2 linked regions of the Solanum lycopersicum genome follow. The protein of the gene in region 1 interacts with the protein of each later gene in a pairwise test. Links are inferred from orthologs where the notes say so. Each region holds a gene or a part of one and is shown in the gene's direction. Other genes may lie near its edges.

The links. The genes of interacting proteins can lie anywhere in the genome.
Region 2: the proteins of NF-X1-type zinc finger protein NFXL1 (region 1) and Zinc finger transcription factor 61 interact in binary tests that used the Arabidopsis thaliana proteins (3 or more experiments, as listed by UniProt). The link is inferred for Solanum lycopersicum from reciprocal best matches to the Arabidopsis thaliana genes NFXL1 and MAC5B.

The regions. Positions count from the first base shown.
Region 1 is NC_090802.1:64,151,133-64,157,367, forward strand, and holds the start of NF-X1-type zinc finger protein NFXL1, read left to right. Parts: upstream 1-2,835; 5' UTR 2,836-3,072; intron 3,073-3,160; 5' UTR 3,161-3,203; coding exon 3,204-6,235. Other genes in the region: acyl carrier protein, read right to left, coding at 92-187, 349-405. UniProt on the Arabidopsis thaliana protein: Mediates E2-dependent ubiquitination. Confers resistance to osmotic stress such as high salinity. Promotes H(2)O(2) production. Negative regulator of some defense-related genes via an salicylic acid (SA)-dependent signaling pathway.
Region 2 is NC_090809.1:59,942,708-59,949,052, reverse strand, and holds the start of Zinc finger transcription factor 61, read left to right. Parts: upstream 1-2,188; 5' UTR 2,189-2,353; intron 2,354-2,466; 5' UTR 2,467-2,491; coding exon 2,492-2,596; intron 2,597-3,707; coding exon 3,708-3,977; intron 3,978-4,217; coding exon 4,218-4,441; intron 4,442-5,677; coding exon 5,678-6,345. Other genes in the region: mitochondrial carnitine/acylcarnitine carrier-like protein, read left to right, coding at 451-842, 1,038-1,539.

The DNA.
Region 1 (6,235 bases):
AAATTAATGGAGTGATAGTTCAGGTAGATAAAAGAACAATGGATAGTTAAGATATGAAACTCGCGAAATGAAGAAGAAGAAGGAGATTTACAGCTGCAACACGAAGGCGGGATGTTCTTAGAGAAGGGAAACCAGCACTACTCCTTCCCCAACCCACTGAAACCAACTTCACAGTGCCTCCGTTTATCTGCACACATTTTGCCCAAAATTACAAGTTTCAATGAAATAGTTTTATATCAAAGTCATTTATCTTTTGACTATTGTAACAAAATGTTGTTACAATGAACAAACATGTATAACATGAAAAATTAGTCGTTACAGTGAAATGATGTTATTAGTAATGTTGACCTGAGATGTGTTGACAGAACAGCCAAATCTGAGACAAGTAGCTGAAAGACTAGCCATATTATGAAGAATGAGAAATGCAGAGAGAAGAAATGGAGTTTGTTTGAAGATTTAAAGATGAGTACAACAATAGTTGAAGTAACAGTAATAATATTATTATTACATACAAGTTGACAAAACAAAGAAAAATGAGTGGTGAATATTTAGTGTGCAAATCCTATCCAAATTAGTGTGTATGTTGCTATCTTATGTGACATAGCATGGATGCTTTGCTAGCTAATGTTTTGTCTTCATTCTCCCTTTCTCAACTTGACCACGTGCAAGTAAGTAATCGTAAATATCGATCGAACTCAGTAACTTTCATCTAACTTTAATTTAACTGTTACGAAATTAGTAGGGAATAAATAAATCTTATTGCATTTTTTTGTTTTGAATATGTATAAATTTTTCACTTAGTATTTGGTAATTTAGCAATCATATATTTCATATGTAAGATCGAGAAATATATGATCAAATATTAGATTTGAATATAATATTATGTTGAAATATATGTTTTAAGAATGAGATATTACTTTGGAAACTTACATAAATATATTATAATAAAAAAATATTTACCGTTTATAGTAATAATATTTTTTTTCACTTGACCACTTTTAATTTATTTACTATACAAGTTTAATATATATTAAAATATGTGATAATACATTTATCACATATTTTGATACACTTATAATACAATGTGACTGTTTTTTACCAAACAAACATAATATATTTAAAAAAAATATAATTCATATATATTGCATATATAATTCACTTTTAATATATATTAAAAATTTATCATAATATTACTATAAATGATAATAAATAAAAAAATCACTAAAATCAGTAATTATTTTAAAAAATGTATTAATTCGCAATTTTGATGGATATTGGGCTCTCAAAGCAAATTGGGCCTCGAATACCTACCAACATTTTTCAATTGGATCATGTGCTCAAATGCAACTTCTAATCCGCTGATTCATTTGTACTTTTTTTTAGGGCAAACAACAATTTTTTAAATTTAAATTTATTCTTAAATTTTTTATAATTACAAAACTTTCTAAAAAAGGATATAATTTTATAAGCGTTGATACATTACTCTAATGCACGAGATACACTAATTTGATGCGCGAGATACATTTTATACATGATACACTAATCTCATGCGCGAGTTGCATTTTATACATGATACACTAACCTGATACACAAGATATACTAATCTGATGCGCGAGATACACTAATCTGATGTGTGAGGTACATTAATGTGATGCGCGAAAATGAGAAATTTTAAAAATTTATAAAACTTATAGGGGATAATAATAATAATAAGTAAAATAAAAGGCGAAATTTCCGTAATTAATCTACCGTAACCACTATCACCATCATATTTCAACCAAGAAGAAAGTCATTGACTATTCATAAAATCATTACGCAACTCCATCGCCATCAATTTGAAGATGTTACAAAATATTCAAAAGTAATGGAATTGTACATCGTATTCATGAGTTAAATCTTTTTGTACTTTTTGAGAAAATAACTTTTAACTTGTGTCATTTAAAAACATACCTATTAAACGCAAACGATTGACAATATTATGACACGTGTATTATATTTATTTATTTTTGGAAAAAAGGATAACCCGCAATTTTTATAACCTTTGTTGCCCTTCGGGTGAGCACTTTGTGCACACTGAGTAGTAACCCCCTCTCTATAGTAGCCTGCAAACTACACAGGGATGTAAGCCGTAAGCAAGTCTTATGTGACAAGCTCGAATTAGAAAACATTAAGAGGGAGATCGATCCCTAGTCATCCATATCGCCGCTACTCCATCACCATAACTATTATCGCCACCATATTTCGACCAAAAAGAAATCCACTAACCAATCATAAAAATCACCGCACAACTTTAGCATTATCAACTCAAAGATATTATAAAAAAAACTCTAAAAGATACTGAAGCTTACAATGCCTTCACGAGTCAAAGATTTTGTGCATCTGAAAAAACACTATAACTAATTATGTCAGTTAAAAATGTGTCAAAATTAAACACAAACGACAAACAAGACATAACACATGTATTATAACTGTTTTACGCGCGCGAAATACCTAAATTTTTCTGTCCATCTCCTTCATCTACTATTTACCGCCACCACTCCATCACCATATCCAACCACCACAAAAGAAAATCATCAACCAATTACAGAAATCAACATACAAATCCATCTTTATCAAATTCAAAACTCAAAAACCATTGAAATTAACAATCGTATTCATAAATAAAAAAAAAATTATCTTACATTCTTGGAAACTTTATAACTAGTGTAGTCTCAACTTCTTCTTCCACTTAATTTTGTGTTATTAAATCTTGAAATAATGAACAAATAATGTTGTTAGAAATGTATAGAATGTATCACAAAATTATAAAACAAAAAAATAATTAAAAAGAAAATTGGGACCGACGTACCAGGCATCCTGTCCAAGTAAAATATGTCAGCTGTCCAATTTTTGCTTGTTCACCAAGGCGAATTTTTAGCCCTATTTATACCTTTCATTACTCCTCTTTTCTTCATCCTCCTCCGTCATCTTCTCCACAGAAAATTCAGTAGCCGACTCCGGAGAATCAAAACTCTCTTCTGTTTCTGGATTTTGTCTTCGGCGGGCTGTTTGATCTTTGTTTCATCGAATCAGGTATTGAAAAATTTTCTTTTAGGGTTTGAAATTGAATTCCTTTTTTTTTTCAATTTTCTGAATTTTCCCCTTTTTTTTTTCTGTATAGAAATCTGTCGTTGGATAGGTTAATAAGAAATTCAAGTCAGAATATGAGCTTTCCTGCACAAAACAATAGAAGGAATAACAACAGTAATCGGCCTAGAAACAATAATAATAATCCTGTTGTTCAAAGTGGTGGTGCTCGTCGTGAGTGGGTAGCTAGGGGATCTGCTCCAACCAACACTGTTCCATTTTCAGCTGCCCCTGTTACCCCGGTAACAACAACCACTGTTGTGACCCCTGTGTTTGGTGGGAATGGAAGAGACAATGAGAATGTGTCATCTGCACCGTTTAATCGATTTCAAAATCAAAATCAGACCTATGGGGAACCTAAATTCAATAGGGGGATGTATGGGAATCAGAGGGGAAGGGGCAGGGGGAGCTATAATCATCAGGAGAACAAGATGGAGAGGCCGGTCAGGGAGGTCAGTGGGAGGATTAATCAAGAGCGGGTGAAAGATCCTAATTTGCCTCAACTTGTGCAAGAAATAGAGGAGAAGCTTTTGAAGGGAAACATCGAGTGCATGATATGCTACGATATGGTGAGGAGGTCTGCGCCCATGTGGTCATGTTCGAGCTGCTACTCGATTTTTCATTTGCATTGTACCAAGAAATGGGCAAGAGCTCCAACTTCTGTTGACACATCTGCGGAGAAGAATCAAAGGTTTAATTGGCGTTGCCCAGGTTGTCAATCAGTCCAACTCACTTCGTCCAGGGACATACGGTATCTTTGCTTTTGTGGGAAGAGGCAAGACCCCCCTTCAGATTTATACTTGACTCCACATTCATGTGGGGAGCCTTGTGGCAAGAAACTTGAGAAGGAGCTTCCAGGGAATGGTCTGAGTGAAGAGGATCTTTGCCCTCATGTTTGTGTCTTACAGTGCCATCCTGGTCCTTGTCCACCTTGTAAGGCATTTGCTCCAGCTAGAAGTTGTCCCTGCGGAAAGGAAGTAATTACCACTCGTTGCTCTGATCGGAAGTCCGTTCTTACATGTGGACAGCAGTGTGGTAAGCTTCTTGACTGTGGGCGTCATCGGTGTGAACAGACTTGCCATGTTGGTCCTTGTGGCCATTGTCAAATTGTTGTGGATGCCCATTGCTTTTGTAAGAAGAAAACAGAGTCTCTTCTTTGTGGAGATATGGGTGTGAAAGGAGATATCAAGATGGAGGATGGCGTCTTTTCATGCAATTCAGTTTGTGGAAAGAAGCTTTGTTGCGGAAATCACATCTGCCGTGAGCTCTGCCATCCAGGGCCATGTGGGGACTGTGCTTTGTTGCCTAGCAAGGTCAAGACATGCTGTTGCGGTAAAACCAGCTTGGAAGAAGAAAGGCACAGTTGTTTGGATCCAATTCCAACCTGTTCCAAGGTCTGCGGAAAGCGTCTCCGTTGTGGGGTACATCGCTGTGAAGCTGTGTGCCATTCTGGTGACTGTGCACCATGTCTTGTTCCTGTGACTCAACGCTGCCGCTGTGGGTCAACCTCTCGAACAGTGGAGTGCTACAAAACGCAGGCAGAAGATGAGCAGTTCACTTGTGATAGACCTTGTGGGCAAAAGAAGAACTGTGGAAGGCACCGTTGTAGTGAGCGATGTTGCCCTCTTTCTAATCCAAAAAATTCCATAACTGGTGGTTGGAATCCTCATTTTTGTTCAATGCCGTGTGAGAAGAAGCTTAGATGTGGGCAGCATTCTTGCGAGTCGCTTTGTCACAGTGGTCACTGCCCTCCCTGCCTTGAGACAATTTTCACCGATTTGACTTGTGCTTGTGGGAGAACATCAATCCCTCCTCCGCTACCTTGTGGCACACCTCTTCCTTCGTGTCAGCTACCATGCTCGGTTTCTCAGCCTTGTGGCCATCCACCTACTCACAGCTGCCATTTTGGAGACTGCTTGCCATGTGCTGTTCCTGTAGCAAAAGAGTGCGTTGGTGGACATGTAATTTTAAGGAACATACCTTGCGGGTCAAAGGACATCCGATGTAACAAGCTTTGTGGGAAGACCAGGCAGTGTGGCTTGCACTCATGTGCTAGAACTTGTCATCCTTCGCCATGTGATGTTTCTGCTGGACCTAGCAATGGCTCCAGAGCCTCTTGTGGGCAGACGTGTGGTGCTCCTAGAAGAGATTGCAGGCACACATGTACTGCTCTCTGTCATCCCTCTTCTTCATGTCCTGATGTTAGATGTGAGTTTCCTGTCACTATTACTTGTTCTTGTGGCCGGATTACAGCAAATGTTCCTTGTGATGCTGGAGGTCAGATCGTTGACTCTGTTCTCGAAGCCTCTATAATCCACAAGCTGCCTTCATCTCTTCAACCTATTGAAATAAATGGGAAGAAGGTTCCTCTCGGTCAGAGGAAGCTTACTTGTGATGACGAGTGTGCAAAGATGGAGAAGAAAAAGGTTCTTTCTGATGCTTTTGGTATAACCCCCCCTAATCTTGAGTCCCTCCATTTTGGTGAGAATGCAGCTGTCTCTGAAGTGCTGGGGGATCTTCTTAGGCGGGACGCTAAGTGGGTGTTGTCTATAGAGGAAAGATGCAAGTTTTTGGTTCTTGGCAGGAGCAGAGGGGGGCTGAATGCGCTCAAAGTTCATGTTTTCTGCCCAATGTTGAAAGAAAAGCGGGATGCAATTAGACTGATAGCTGCAAGATGGAAGCTTTCAGTAAATGCAGCTGGTTGGGAGCCCAAAAGATTCATCGCTGTACATGTTATACCCAAGTCCAAAGCTCCAAGTCGTATACTTGGTCCTAAAGGTTGTACTGTCAATAACATTGTTCAGCCTGCTGTTTTTGATTCTCTGGTGGATATGGATCCAAGGCTTGTTGTAGCTTTGTTTGACTTGCCAAGAGATGCAGACATTAGTGCCTTAGTTCTCAGGTTTGGTGGTGAGTGCGAGCTTGTCTGGTTGAACGACAAGAATGCCTTGGCTGTGTTCAGTGATCCTGCCCGAGCAGCAACAGCTATGAGAAGGCTAGACCAGGGGTCGGCTTATTGTGGTGCTGCTGTAGTTCATCAGAGTGGTGTTGCATCAGCAGTGGCATCCACTACTAATGTTTGGGGAGTCTCTGGAGGAGCCAAGGACGC
Region 2 (6,345 bases), on another chromosome or scaffold:
AGCATACAAACTTTTGATCTGTTTTTTTTTGTCATCTGACATATCAGTTTCTGATTATCAGAGTGCCTCAGGCTGGGAGGTGTAAAATTGTGAATAATATCGTTGAGAAGAACTTTACCTGGATTCTTTTTGGTGCTATTTACTCATAAATTTGTGGTCACTCCACAAACACCCAAGCTGGACTTGTTATTACATCAATGACGCCTAGTGTTGTTTACTATATAGGTTCATGGCTATTGACTGTAAAGATTAATGTTCTTTTTTCCACTGCACCAACTTTTAGCAGAAGCTTTAAGCTTAACTTTGATAATATACTCTTGAGGTCCGCTCCTTCCCAGCAAATCATTCTTTTTCTACAATTGAGAATTGTAAACAGTGAATACAGTAGCTAATAGCTTACATTTAGACTGAGAATTGTTTTTCCCCCTTTTCTTTTTTTCAGATTTTCCAATGGGTGATATAGCCAAGGATTTAACAGCTGGGACTGTAGGTGGTGTAGCACAATTGGTCGTTGGTCACCCTTTTGATACCATAAAGGTCAAGCTTCAAAGCCAGCCTACTCCACTTCCAGGGCAGCTTCCAAAATATTCTGGTGCTATAGATGCTGTCCGGCAAACATTAGCTGCGGAAGGTGCCGGGGGGCTGTTCAAAGGCATGGGAGCCCCACTTGCCACTGTTGCAGCCTTTAATGCTCTGCTCTTCACCGTGAGAGGTCAAACAGAGGCATTCTTGAGGTCTGAACCTGGAGTCCCTCTTACTGTGAGCCAGCAAGTTGTTTGTGGGGCTGTTGCCGGAACTGCTGTCTCTTTTCTTGCTTGCCCAACTGAGCTTATAAAATGCAGGTTTGTTTCTAGTGCATTATAATTCAGCCTTCACAAAGTTTCCCTTGCTTATTTTTGCCATGTTGTATCCTTAGTAGTGACATGTGCATTATCTACTTTTCAACTTTTTGTTACCATTGTTCGGTCAAATGATCAAAACTACTAGGAATCAACTTCTATACTTGTCAATTTACTCGTTAAATTACATGACTGTAGATTGCAAGCTCAGGGTGCATTGGCAAGTGTAGGCTCAGCTGCTGTGGCAGTGAAATATGCAGGGCCAATGGATGTAGCAAGACATGTTCTTCGATCCGAAGGAGGCATGATGGGTCTCTTCAAGGGCTTGTTTCCCACCATGGCACGTGAAATCCCCGGAAATGCTGCTATGTTTGGCATGTATGAAGCACTAAAGCAGTACTTTGCAGGAGGCACAGACACTTCAGGGTTGGGAAGAGGTTCTCTTATTGTAGCAGGTGGCCTGGCTGGTGGTTCCTTCTGGATTTCGGTGTATCCAACAGACGTGATCAAGAGTGTAATCCAAATCGATGACTATAAAAACCCAAAATTCTCTGGCTTTTTTGATGCATTCAAGAAGATCTTGGCATCGGAGGGAGTCAAAGGCCTTTACAAGGGCTTTGGACCTGCTATGGGACGTAGTGTCCCTGCAAATGCTGCATGTTTCTTGGCGTATGAGATGGCTAAGTCTAGTTTGGGATAATTCATTGTTGATGGGGAAGGATTTTAGACATTGTTATTGATAATTCTTTGAACCTAACATCTGCTGATATTCTGTAATTTCCAGTTCAACTTATTCTGCTTTTATAGATTTAGGCCATTTTTTTCTTTGGTGGCTTCAAGAAGCAAATTGTCTTTCAGAAACAAATTCTCTCTTGAAAAAAAAGGGTGTCCTTTCATGGTTGTTGACTAGACGATCCGAGCAATAAAATTTCTCAATTATAACACAAGGTACTGTTTAGATTGAATTATACTATAACAAGGACAGGATGTAAATTAATCATTGAAGTAGTTAGGGAAATGACTATCATAATCATATTTTATATAGTATTTTATGATTGAGCTGATTTAATAAACGCATGCAATACATGAAAGGCTTACGAATGTAGTACTGGACAGCTTTACCTACGACATTTCCTATTCCTACTTTTCATACAAAGAGAATGGGCTTGTGGATTTCATCGATGTATTGTTGTAATATATATTTATATATAAAAAAAATTATTTAAATTACTTTTTTTTCTATTTTTATCATGATAAAAATTAAATTTATTTTTTTAATTAATTAATAGTTTTAAAATTCAAAATAACGGAAATCAACTTGAAAAAGGTCTTCTTATCTCTCTTCGCCCGGCTGAGCTGGGCTATTTGCCTCGCTGTCCTTCGTCGGAAGGTTCTTCTCTCCGCCGTCGACAACAGCCATCTCCGCCGTCTCTGAGCTCTATATAAAATTGAGTCTGCTAAGCGAGATTTTGGCATTCAAATAACTTTCACTAGCCTAAGTTGCTCTTAATCAGGTACTATTGATTTCTCACCTTTTTTCAGATTTCTGTTTCTTTAGGTTAAGATTCTTATAGAATATGTAATAAATAGCTTGGAATGAGCTTTTAAAAGTTCATTTGTTTTGCAGATTGAAGTTTAGGAATTAGAAAACGATGGCGCATAGGTTGCTGAGAGATGCTGAAGCTGATGGATGGGAACGATCTGATTTCCCTATTATATGCGAGTCGTGTCTCGGTGACAGTCCCTATGTGCGAATGGTAAGTTCTTCGTTTCAATTTTTGTTATGGTAAAGGCCGTGAATGGTCCTAGGGTTTATAATAATCTCCAGTCCTTTGGTTGCTGACTACAAATTGAAAATATACTCGAGGAATGTTTTTCTTATTTGCATTGCTCCTATCTGCTATTGAGATTTGAGGTGGAAGGGTAGGAAACTTTATTCGGCGAAGAAGTTGAGAAATTTCTGGTTGTAGTTATAGGTGAATATAGGTGCAAAGAGGCTAGAGTTGATGGAGATTGCAGATTCAAATAGGCAACAGTAAAGTATGTGAATAAGGCGAAGTTGAATGATTGGTTGATTGATATGGTTTTAGGGGAATATAGTAAGGTTACTCTGAATACAACTAGAAGTTCATTTTCAGAATTTTTTAGGTGATTTTTTAAGAATTCATTTATTTCAAGTGCCCCAATTTATTAATACAGTAGGAATGATCAGTAGTTGTAGAAATATATGTGTTTATTGTGCAAAATCAAATAAAGAAGGGGGGGGGGGGGGGGCTTTATTGAAGTTTAAAAGGGTAAAGACTGTCATTTCTCAACCTTGAAAGATCACGGAGTCCAATTCCTAATGTAGCGTTCCTTAAGAATGTGAAGTGCGTGAAGAATGTGGCTGGATCCTTTGATGGAGGCAGCAACGTAGTGTTTTATCAAATTTTTAAGTAAGTTGTTTGTCAGATTTGCTCTACAGGAAAGGCTATTAGCCTTTCTGTAAGGACTGTTAATCTCTGGTAGCATTTATTTAATTGCTTATCTTTGTGCTAGCTGCAGTAAACTGTATTTTGAATTCTATTTACGTGTAGCTAGGCAAGACCACTTACATTATAATCATTGTGGCTTTCTGAAGCTCTTTGTTTGGACCTTTACTCATCGACAGCTTCTCCTGATTTGCCACTACTTTTGGCACATTGTTACGATGTTTACTCTCTCCATACATATTAGGAATTAATTTCTTGCTCAAAGAGTCTCCATTTTGGCAGTAGAATAAGTCGGGCCTTTGACTTTGTTTTGGTTTTAGCTGCATGTCCTCTACTATAATCTTTCTTTCTCCAATTTCACTATCTGACTTTTGATTTTGTTATGGTTTTTGTACAGACAAAAGCAGATTATGACAAGGAGTGCAAGATCTGCACGCGACCCTTCACAGTGTTCAGGTGGAGGCCTGGTCGGGATGCGAGATACAAAAAGTCTGAGATCTGTCAGACCTGCAGCAAATTGAAGAATGTTTGTCAAGTTTGCCTGTTAGATCTTGAATATGGTTTGCCTGTTCAGGTCCGAGACACTGCTCTCAGTATCAACTCAAATGATGCCATCCCAAAGAGTGACGTAAATAGAGAATATTTTGCAGAGGAGCATGACCGAAGGGTATGTGATTTACTAAGTGAAAGCCCAACTTATATTTAATTTACTTACCCCACCCCCCACCCCGCCCCACACACCTCCGATCCAAATCTTGCTGGGAACTACTTAGGGATGGGGTGCAGTTTTAAATTAGGAGAAGAAATTGAACCTGGTGAAAATAAGGGCTTAGAATTTTCAAGAAGCACAAAAAAAAAATGCTGTTTTCTTGGTTTTCCCCAAAGTAATACTTAAATTTTTGTCCAGGCAAGGGCTGGTATTGATTATGAATCTTCATATGGAAAAGTCCGTGCAAATGATACTATCATGAAGCTTCAAAGAACAACTCCATACTACAAGAGAAATCGGGCACATGTTTGCAGTTTCTACATACGTGGTCAATGTACAAGAGGTTTGGAGTGTCCTTACCGGCATGAGATGCCTGAAACAGGGGAATTGTCACAGCAAAATATCAAAGACCGTTACTATGGGTATGCCAGTCTGATTCTTTGTCGCTGATGTGAAATTCTCCTTTTTGGAATGATGCTCATATATCTGTATTGACATATTTGTGATAGGGTTTCTGGTCTTTAATTTTGCTTGGGGTGTGAGAATGGCGGTTCACTTTTCTGTTGATATGTTCATGAAGACTTACTAGTCACTTTTTTTAGAAGACTTACTAGTCACTGTAGACACATTATCTGTTTCCCTCAGTTGCAATGCTAATATGGGATGAAGGCCAGCGATTCATGGCCACACAATGTTATATAAAATAGTAAATAATACATCGTTGTGGGATTACACTGGGTATGTTGTTGTATAACTAAATAATACATCAGTTCAGCAAGTAGGAGGAAAAAAGGGGAATTGACCCAGAGATTATGTTCTCATTTATCATGTTAGAAAGGAGAAGCAAAACAACTTAAGTAAAATATATCTCAATGTGGGAAGACAGTATGTGGACTTGGTCAACTGACTCAGGAGGTGAATAGCTTATATTGAGTTGCTTGTTTACCCTCATTGAATTTATAAACAAAAACATATATAAACATGTAAATTTATCTCAGATCTGACATACAAAGTCGTCCTGCTGTCAATATATTATAATCATTTTTTTATAGTTTTGCAGCTAAAAAATGCTTGTGTGAATGTGTGGTGTAATTGCTTTCTACCACTGGTAGTCTTCATTCCCATACTTTATTCCGTGACTTATTCCTTTCTGGTTTCTCAATCCTCTCTGCTTGTGTTTGAGTTATACGTTATTTAAGTATTTTTTTTTTTGGAGTAGAGCCTTGTTTAAATTTCTTTAATGCCATCTTGTTCAAATCCTTGCACTCGATCACCAATGGAAGTCCTAGAAGAAATGTTTTGTGAATGCTTTTTCATGTGATTTAACAGCTTGTTGAGGTTCAAATAATTGCCGAAACTGGCAAGAATGCAGAACCCAGTCATCTCCATGGTTATAGACATAATTAAGTTCAGACACTTAACTCTAGATAGATACCATTTTCTTCATGACCAATGAATTAAATACTCTATGCACTTTTGAAACTCATCTTACTTTGTCTCTCCAAGATTACGTGATGGCTAGGCTGATTATTGATGACATCTATTTGCTGGTCACTTTTCTTTTGCTTATTATATACCCTGTTCTCATTTACAGAGATGTATTTATCCTACATTTTTGACTGACAAAATCTTCACTGATGTATCTTAAATGCTTGCAGAGTCAATGATCCAGTGGCTTTAAAGCTACTTAATAAAGCAGGTGAAATGCCTTCATTGGAGCCCCCTGATGACGAGAGCATTAGAACCCTCTATGTGGGTGGTGTTGATGCAAGAATCACTGAGCAGGACCTTAGGGACCATTTTTATGCACATGGTGAAATTGAGTCCATTAAAATGGTGGTCCAGCGTGGTTGTGCTTTTGTAACTTACACGACTAGAGAAGGTGCGGTGAAGGCAGCTGAGGAACTTGCAAACAAGCTGGTGATAAAGGGCCTGAGACTGAAGCTACTCTGGGGGAGACCTCAAGTTCCCAAGCCAGAGTCCGAGGTCTCTGATGAAGCAAGACAGCAGGCTGCTCTAACTCACAGTGGTTTGTTGCCTAGAGCAGTCGTATCACAGCAGCAGAATCAGCCTCTTCAGCCACCAGGCACTCAGGACCAACCTCCATCCATGCCTTACTTCAACATACCCCCGATGCCTCAGCAAGACAGACCATATTATCCATCAATGGATCCACAAAGGATGGGTGCCGTAATTGCATCCCAGGAAGGGGCATCTAGTTCAACTGCAGGATCTGGTCCTGGTGAAAATAAAATCGGTTCTGATCATCAACAAGGACACCATTATGCATATCCACCTGGAGGGCCACCACCTCCAGGTCAATTTT